2 linked regions of the Neodiprion lecontei genome follow. The protein of the gene in region 1 binds, or shares a complex with, the protein of each later gene. Links are inferred from orthologs where the notes say so. Each region holds a gene or a part of one and is shown on either strand. Other genes may lie near its edges. The genes, in order: dystrobrevin beta and beta-1-syntrophin.

Region 1 (4,896 bases):
ATGAAACATACGTGTTGGAATTTTTTAATTTTCCTAACATTATACGTTGTAGATGATTATTAGTACATGTGATATATTCCCATAAAAGAATCCACTTCTGTGCGTGTTCGGCAATAATTTGCAAATATTAAATAACCGGAGAATTTTACACGGTAAAACTTTTTTTAAAAATGTGATGACAAAATTAGACTACTCTATTATAGGTATACCTATAATAGTGAAAAGCTACAAATGTAATTTTATCAATGTTTTATGATCATTCAGCAAACTTGAAAAGCAAGTTTGTTCATGATCTGAAGATAATTATCGGTAGGTACAGTAATTAATCAAAATGAACAAATTGTCGACCGTGCGACGCTATATTTAATATTTTCAAAAAAGCTAACAATAAGAAGAATTTAAGTCGTATGATTTACACTTCAAAAAAATGTTATTTTCGTTACTTTAGTGACGTAGTTTGTCTTGCATGTGTAGAATATCATTAATGGGCAAAACAACAAAAAAATTCTTATCGAATGGACTGGATCATACAAAAAATAACATAGGTGTGTATCTAATATTTTAACCTTTGGATGTGTGGTGAATACTATACATGAAAAGTATACAATAATATTTTCCGAATCTCGTTTATTTGAAGAAGTTTCAGACAGCCCAAGTTTCAACGATAGCTTCTCGTTCTTGCTGATAGTTATACGCGAGTTTCCCGCATTGTCCACGTAAATAGAACGTAAAGTATACAGTACCTAATAAAATCATCATTCAAGTTTACATTGAACATAAAGGAAAAGAATCCCGAATAAATACTATTTCACAAATATACCTAACTGCATAGTAAATAGTGGAAGGGGGATATTGATAAAAATTTCATGCTGCCTCACTATTAGTAGAGTTTCAAAGTCTTTGCTAAATCATTCAAGCTACCTTCAGTTTGTTACACGTAATGATAGTATATAGTGCAGATATGAGAGCTAATAGGATATAGTCGCATGACAAAAATTGACTTGAATTGGGATTTTGTGATATTTCTAAGAAGTTTAAAAGCCATTTCTAAATTGTTAAATCGATATTATAGGATTAGAAAAGGACCGTGAACTAATAAATGATCGTTTCAATCGGTCATTTCCTGGTGCACTTACCGTAAACTTTTTGTAAAGTTTACCCTGTACTATATTGGATTACTCAGGTTCCTATTTCTATTATCCTCGTTTTATGCCATTAATAGTAACTTCTGGAGTTTATAGAGTCATAACAATAATAGTTTCAAATTAAAAGACTCTAACCGAGAGTAAATACACATTGGCAAGATTGTACGTATAAATAAATTTCAAAATATACACAATTTCGCAAAGTTATTCATTTTCCCAGTCCATTATCGTAGAAATTGGTCCAGTTGGAAAAACGTTTGATAATGAGGTTTAATACTTTTGCAGTTATGTGCACATCCAATATTAAAACTTGGAAACTGGACGTCAATTACCCGCCGTTGTATAATATACGTTCAAAAAAGTACGAATTTAAGTAGCAACTGTAAATCTGGCGGGGAATCAGAAAACTTTTTTAATGGGTTAGTGAATAAAATAAAAGACGAATGAAACCGTGATGACAAAAACATCATACAAATCTCGCTACAGATCAAACTTAAGTTCAATTCAAGTTTCTTAATTGAAAGTAAAAGAAAGCAGGAAAAACGCGACTGCCTTGAAAGAACCAGTCCTAGAACATCCCGTTATTCTATAGTTATTTTCGATAAGATTTCAGAGATGGATCGGATAAATTTTCCCAAAATCCAGTCAATTCGGGGTTAGAAAGAATCCTATCAATGTGACCAAGGCCATAAAAATTCGTTTAATCGTTCGCGAGATATCGTCTTACAAAAAATCGATCACATGCACACACGCCCAGCGTCCATCTAAAAGTGACGACTAGACTCTGAAGTTAGCCGCAGGTTTCACAATCAGCCCTCTAGCGCGCAACGCTACGAATTTGTGTTCACGTTTGATTGCGAATGCAACTTTTTTTGCTGTAATTTGGTGCACCCCTACTTAGAAAATCATGATCAGAAGCTCTCAGCAGTGGAAACCTGTGGCTAATTTCAGCGTCCTCTGTGTTCGGGGTGATCATAATAACTTCCCTGGAAACAAAGTTGAAAATACTGATTCATTCTTTTTGACCGTTGCCAATAACCAATACGAGGATTTGGTTCAAACCGTACGTAAGAAAGATCTACGATCTTTAAGAACTTAATAGTGAGCAGCAAAGGAAGGCAATATTGAACTCTTACATTGTAAAATCTTCAGATTTTCTGGGCCTTCAACCTACCACTCTTAAGAAATATTAATAAATCGCTACTGTTAGATACGAACATTAAACAGTTTGAGGATATAATCAAGTAAGCATGATCGCAATCAACTGACTTTGAATCTGTCACGGATAAAGAAAACAGACTGTAAACATAAAATTAATCGGACAGGTCGCGACGCTGTACAAGTTTCTATACTTAGGAATAAGGTTATAAGCGTATTGCCTGGCGACATTATATGTGTATGTAGATTTTTTAAATCACCCAACAAAGTGCATGGACCTACGAAGGGCTGAATTCTGATTGGCCGTCGACTGTGACGTCACAATATACCGTGGTACACGTTCACCTAACCTGCTTTACCGGTACGCGGCTTGATAATTTTATTGCTCATGCTTAAACTGGCGCAAAGATAATCGCCTGATCAACGAGCGCGGCGTAAAAGCTTGAGAAAATTATCTCAACAATTATGCCACTCGTTCGAGGTCGCGTATTGCAGTTCGCGCTGCTAGCAAGACGGCAATTCACAAATGTGTACGTTATTGACTACCTGGAGAGCTGAGAACTGTCAACTAGGAGTTCCGAGAGTTATATTTCGCAGCAAAACGGGGTACTTGGTGTTTTTCAGTATGGATAAATACCCTACTGTTCTTACCTGTTTTTTGACGCGAGGACGGTGTTTTACATTGAATATTGACGGTAAACAAGTATCTCACACAGCACGAACACAACGCACACCTGAATCCTTACGGCCATTACTGCCTACTGAAAATTAACTTCTGTAGTTCGGTCCGAGGAGGATAGGATAGGAGGAACGCTGCCATAAGGCGCTAATGCATATTTGCGTGTACACTAGCAGATACGGCGTTCAGCTCCTCTCTCGGGCGGGAGCGCAAACAAAAACTCCCCTATCCATTGCCCATGGCTGTCTTTCGGGCGCCAATTTCAAACTCACTGTAATGCAGAGGGAAACAGCCATTTTAAATTCGTAACAATTTAATCAAGTAATGATAAAATAATAAGAAGCAACATATCATTTAGTTTATACTGACTTTTACTGAGAAAATAGAGGAATTAATAACTTTTTCATGCTTCTCTGTATGTGGGATTATTTTCATCTTTACAGTCGATAAGTACGAACGGTAAACATGATCTATTACTGTGTGTTTAAAACATCTTAATTATTCATCCGATATTAACGGTGATAATATTATCACAACAATGTTAAGTATTATACACAACATTGGTGAAGTAAAGTTCATATACTGGATTTACAGTGAATCTTTTTATTTTTGAACTCTTTTCTTGACTACTACATAGATCTCTCCTTATAAATTTGCCTTACCAATGACATCTTATTTTTAGAAATATATTTGATAACGTTGTCATTGCGTCTGGGGATTACAGTTTGATCAAAGGACACATCTTTTTGATAAATTCTAATAATTTGGTTATGTTTCGACAATGTATGGCAGAACGGATTGAACATTTAAGCGGCTGATTCCGAAGCTTTAAGAACTTGAGACACTTTCTCTTACATGCAATATTCAATTTGTATCCACGTATGGTTTTATAATAGTAAACAGTCAGTAATTTTGAAAGTCAGTGTTATCTTTGAATCATCAATAATTTTCTGCACTCTTTACATGCATAAAAGTAGTGAAAGATGCATTTTACGTAAATATCCTGTAGTAATAGAATGAATATTAATAATCCTCATTTTTGGTGAATTGTTCTACTTCGAACTGTACATTTTGATATATTTCATATATGTATAATTGATGTAACGGTTTTATTGATCTTGTTAGCAATTAAAGCTAGCGATTCACTTTCTATTTTTGATGCAAGAATAGTTAGTTGTACAGCACAATTAGCGGATATATTTATTTGTTACAAGTTCGTTTAGGAGCACATATTTATGAAATTACTAATGTTTAAGTATATTGTTATACCGATAGGTGACAAGTTGCATACATGGTAAATTATATTTCTATAAACTTCTAAAATTTTTTTAAATCAGTTTCTTTAGGCACAGCATAATAAATGGTAAATTTTAATGTTACCGTGGCTTTTAAGGAAAAATCTTGTAAATATTAGAATCATTATATAAGTTATCAAAATATTATCAAACGTTTGCGGTATGTCGGAGACTTATCAAGTACTTATTACAAAATCTAGTCAAATATATTAATGTGTATATATTAATATTTAGATATTTTAAAAATATATGTACTTACTATCTTCATCGTACAAGATTGCAATTTACAATATAAGATTATAATGCTAGTATGGCAGTGATTTGACCGATTTTTAAAATGTCGGACGTGTTACAATTTACATATTGCAGAAAGCAATAATTAACATTATCTTGCTTGCAAAATCGAGAAAAAAATCAGATGTAGACATTTATGAGGTGCTAAACATAAGAGCTTTGAGATTCTATTTAAAGATATCTGCACCTCATTTTGAAGCAAAGAATTCCAGTCGAGATTCTAAGACCATATTTACAATATCCCTCTCCAAATCTCAATTTATGTACATAGTCTCGCAGAATCAAATGTCGCAGATACCACACTCAATATTTTGGAATCTAAGAT
Region 2 (4,991 bases), on another chromosome or scaffold:
GTTTGAAACGATTATTTCGTAACTCTATAAAAGAGAAGTAAACTGTAAAATACGAGTTGCGCAGCTTGAAGTTAGCCCCAGGTGCCGTAATCGCTAGTTCAGTGGCACTTTCGAACACATTGCAAAAAGGTCGATAGCCGTATTTCGGATTTTTTTCAGGACAGCTGCCTTCACGACAAATTTCCGTATCGTACAAATCAGAAAATCGTATTACAAACTCTTCTTATTTCTGATCAATAATAAATTGATTTAAAATTTTGTTAAATCGTAACCCGTCATCTTGCCTAATCGGTAATCGAGAATCTGATGTATGTAAGTATATCAATCGCTTCATCGAATTTTCCGAACTCCTTGGCCGACTACTAATTGAAAATGATATAATTTCGCTAAGTTTGGAACGATCTCGTTTCTCCGTGCATTAGAAAACTGTAAACTACGAATTACACGTCTTGATTAAATCCGTGACTGTGAGCAGTCGCATTCCTATCACCTCCGGTGTAAAAACCCTGGTGTGGAATTTTGGGGGCGGGAAGTTCGAAAAAGCCGTTAGGTCGAGTCGATAGCGAGCGGCAAAGGAGGGGGGACGTCGAAAGGTGGAAGGTGTCGAGAGGGAGGGGGGTGCGAGAGAGACAGCGCGGCGCAACAAGTGCGGATACGATCCGCGAGGGTCGCTGGCGTCGAGGGTCGCCGGTATTCGGCGTCGGGTTCACCGGCGGGTAACGAGCGATTCGAACGCCGGTAGCTCGTGCCGCCCTCGAGATTCCGGCTCAGTCTGGCGCTGATCGCGTCGGTGAAACGTGTTCGGTTGTCATTCGTTTGGGCGGCGATTTTGCGTCGCGGTTACTTTAAACGCGTTGAGCGATGCTCGAGTGGAATTCTCCCGTGTAGTGAGTAAACCGGCCTCTCAGAATCGCCCGAACTCGTCCGAGGCGTGTTGTAAACTGGGATTAGGAACGGATCGGCGCGGCCGAGTGGCAAGTGGTAAACAACGCGAAGTCGGCGACGAGTGAAAGTCGGCGATTAACAGCGCCGAGTGTGTTTATTTTTTTTTTTTCTTGTGAAAAAGGCCTGTGAGTGTGTGTGTGTGCAAGTTCGTGAAGTGCTTCGGACGGTGTGTGAGAAACTTAAAGCCCGCCAAAACCAGGGATATCGGGGAATTTCGAACGGTCGGCGATGCTCAGTTGTCGGGCTGCCGGGTTCGGACGCCTTGAAGTTAGCCCCTGATCGTCGATTGTTTTGTAACAAACACGTTGATCGTTGATAGCCGGACGCGTACCGAGCTCTCCGTTATTATCGGCAATTCTTATCGTCACAGTTTTGGTTAAAGGTGGAAAGGAAACTACGGGGAACTGAGATAAACGAAGCTAGAAGCTAGAAGCTAGAAGTCGAAAACAAGATAGACGGATGGTGAATAAGTAAACAGGTGAAAAACGCGTTCGCGTTCTTTTATTTTTCTCAATCTATTTTCTCGCTCGCCTTTCTTTTCCAAGTTTTATATCTGCAAAATTACTGTTAATTGATTGATTCCTAAGAACGAATCGGTGCGTCGCCATCCTTCAAAGTTTATCATTGTAGTAGAAATAATTCGTAGCGTGCGGTGGCGCATTTTAGCCTCGAAAGAATAATAGTAATTGCGGGTCATTGCGGAGTGAATCTAAGACGAGGATTGATTCGTTATTCTGCTTGAAATGTGCAATTGAGTAACTCTCACAATATTTATAAATAAATTATTGCGAGACTCCGGACACGGATATTCGGCGTAATAATTATTGTGTCTGCGGTAGCCGGAATCCGACGACTGGAGTTTGTTATTACCGAAATGTCGCTGACACTGCACTTTGCCTCAATTTCCTGTGAAAGAAGAAGAAAAGAAATCAACAACATAGATCGTAACGATAAAAATAGCAATAATAATAATAATAACAACAACAACAAGGGTAATCGTGGCAAGTGAATGAAGAATTATCGTTAATTCTTGTTCGCCTCTTGTAGTCATGGATTAGCAGTAATCAGTTTTTTCTCTCAGCCTCGAATTTCGTAATACCCCGTGTACTTGATTGAAGAGTGGTGACGTAGAATCAGAGAACCGGCGGGTTTTTCGAAAAATTGGACAAAAACTATGCACGAATGATTGAACAACAGAAGGGAGAAAGAGAACATTTTTACGAAAATTCAAATAGGCTAATCGACAAGAACGTCATATATATGCCAATACACGCCCATAAATCGGTAATATATAATAATTAACAAAATATCACTATTCACGTATAATCAATATCGTATTACATTGCAGATTAGTGAGAAAGGGTTATAAATTTGCGAAAGATTAGACAACGAGGAGGAAAAAAAAGAGTGAAAAAGCAAAAAAACCTTACACGAATACCAACACTTTGAACTACACGTACATTAAACACGTTATTTTTATTATATCACACGCATCGTTACATAGTTGTGTCCTTGATTAAGTTTGCCCGGTTGCATAACGAATCGATCTCAGTAACTTACGTTGGTAATAACGTTGCCTTTTTTTCTTGTACGAGGTAATTGAGTTATTATTATTTATCATTATTATTATTATTATTGTCGTTGTTGTTATTATTGTTGTTGTAACATTTATTCTTATTTCATTCTAATTGTCGGTGATAGGATTTTTTTATCTCCACTTTTCTTTCTTTTTTCACGTATATTTTATGTCGATACGTATTATATTTCATTATATATTGTGTATGCCTTACGTTCACCTTTCGTTTTAGCTGCAGTTTCATATACGTTTTTCACGCAATGTATGTATGTACCTATTATACGTACACGCGTATATATATATATATCTAGTTGAAATCCGGTGAATTACATAACTCGAGTTAATTTACCAGAACTTTATTCTTGTTTGTGAAATATCCTGCTCTTTTATATTGCGAATTAACGATCGGTTCAATTCAGCGTTAAACAGCAGCATGCTGATTGTATGATGTATAAATTTTGTAACTAATTGCTGAATTCAGTGTTTCCAAGTAGCAAATAATTGTTGACGACTCAATTTCAATGGCAAACACATCGCCACCGTTGTACGAAATATAACCGGAAAAGTTTTAATTATACCTGCGAGGCACACACACGTGTACAATATACCTGTGTATATAGGTGTGTTAGATAGTTGTCACGCAGGAATTTAAGGGGACTCCGGTATAATATAATGAGAGTGTTAACTTTGACAAATGAGGGGGAAGATTATGTACGGAGGTTCGTTAGTTTTCTAATTAGACTCTTTTATCTTATAAATAGTTCGGTTACTTTTTTGTATTTTTATTCTTATTCTCCGTTTGTTTGTTTTTTCAAACTGACGGAAAAATAGAATTCTTCTTACTGTCAGCTGTTGTTAGTCAATTTAAAAAGCTCATATGAAAATCTGTCGCAATAAATCGGGTTCCGGTTTTTTTCAATATATTATTGTACAAGATGTACAAGAAATCGCCGAAAACTGTATGATTATTTATGTATCATCCTCTGACATTTGTCTGAAAAATAGTTTTTTTCGCTGAATAACTGTACACCCTGTACGTATGTAATTCTCCTAACATTCGTGAAGTTAGCAATTGTACAACTATTATACTTTATATACAGTTATTTGCACTAAATGATTCTATCCGCGTTCTAATTCGTTCAATTATATCTCGTTTGTTCTCTTTCGTCCCACGTTTTTTTCTATTTTCCTTCTGCTTCTTTTTTTTTTTGCCTCTTCTCTTCTCTTAATTCTCTCACGCTTATTTCGTCGCAAGATTTACGCGGGGATTTTTGGATTTTTGTTTTTCTTCCACGTTGGTTTTATTTTCTTTCTTTTATCCTATGCGCAGTATGTACAATTGTACACGTATATACGTATCGAGGGTGAAGTTTTCTGCAAGCAGTGACGCAGCATCATCAGGCAACAGAAGCCAGCAGCGCACGTGGCGGGCAGCAGCGTTCGTTCAATTCGTTCGAAAACTCGTTGGTCGGTTCGTTACCTCCTTGGGAAACTCTCATCCCCTCTCTTACATTTTTCTTTCTCTCGTGTATTCATGTATATGTATACGGGGCATTCCATGACATGTCGATCAAGATTCTACTTCGATGCCTCAGATTGGCTTTATAATTTTTTTCTATGGAAGTACACGACGAAAAACGCGATCGCAATTTTTTTCAGAATTTTTCGACCCAGCGTATCTGAAGTATAATTTAAAAACTTGAAAAACAAACTTAACTATCGAAAATCTGAACAAATTCATAAAAAATCCGGAAAATATCTACTCGGAGAGATATTATAATGAGCTTGTACGTCAATTCTTGTGTCGAAAATGCAATGTAATAGCAGTATTTTTTTTTTCATTTTTATTATTCATTTCTCGACGTTATGAAATCTCCAACTTTTAATAGGTGTCAAAAATTTTGTTACATTTTACAAGATTTTTCAGATTTTAGAAAGTGGGGTTTCTGCTTTTTCAAATTTTTAAATCATAATTCAGATACGCTGGGTCGGAAATTCTAAAAAAAAAATTACAATCGCGTTTTTCGTCGTGTACTTTTATACGAAAAAACTATAAAGTCAATCTGAGACATCGACGTAGAATCTTGATCGAGATGTCACGGAATGCCCCATATACCTACACACCAATCTCTTGTCTTTTCTTTTCTCTCCACTTCCTTTTTCGTTTTTCGCATTTACTTCAATACACCTATACCTTTCTATCTCGTTGCCGTCAATATTTTTCACTACTTTTATCATAATTTTTTTAAATCGTGCCTTTTATATTCATGAACTTTCACCTATACCTTTATATAAACCGAACATCTGACCTTAAATTCTTATAATTGCATTCGCAAGTAAAGTTTACGCTATATATAAGATGCTTATTCTGTGTGGAGTCGTTAAAATTGTTTTTCCGGTTCGTGATTTTTTAAAATAATTTTTATATATTTTTAATAATTATCACGTATGCTTTTTTAACCTCAAAAGA

The links.
Region 2: dystrobrevin beta (region 1) and beta-1-syntrophin share a complex: the UniProt entries of both Caenorhabditis elegans proteins name them as parts of the dystrophin glycoprotein complex. The link is inferred for Neodiprion lecontei from reciprocal best matches to the Caenorhabditis elegans genes dyb-1 and stn-1.

The regions. Positions count from the first base shown.
Region 1 is NC_060262.1:18,390,588-18,395,483, reverse strand, and holds the start of dystrobrevin beta, read right to left. Parts: upstream 3,122-4,896; 5' UTR 2,955-3,121; intron 1-2,954. UniProt on the Caenorhabditis elegans protein: Plays a role in cholinergic transmission and as a functional partner of dystrophin (dys-1), necessary for muscle maintenance. Required for localization of ctn-1 near dense bodies in muscle cells.
Region 2 is NC_060263.1:19,321,153-19,326,143, reverse strand, and holds the start of beta-1-syntrophin, read left to right. Parts: upstream 1-1,790; 5' UTR 1,791-2,127; coding exon 2,128-2,229; intron 2,230-4,991. UniProt on the Caenorhabditis elegans protein: Adapter protein that binds to and probably organizes the subcellular localization of a variety of membrane proteins. May link various receptors to the actin cytoskeleton and the dystrophin glycoprotein complex (DGC).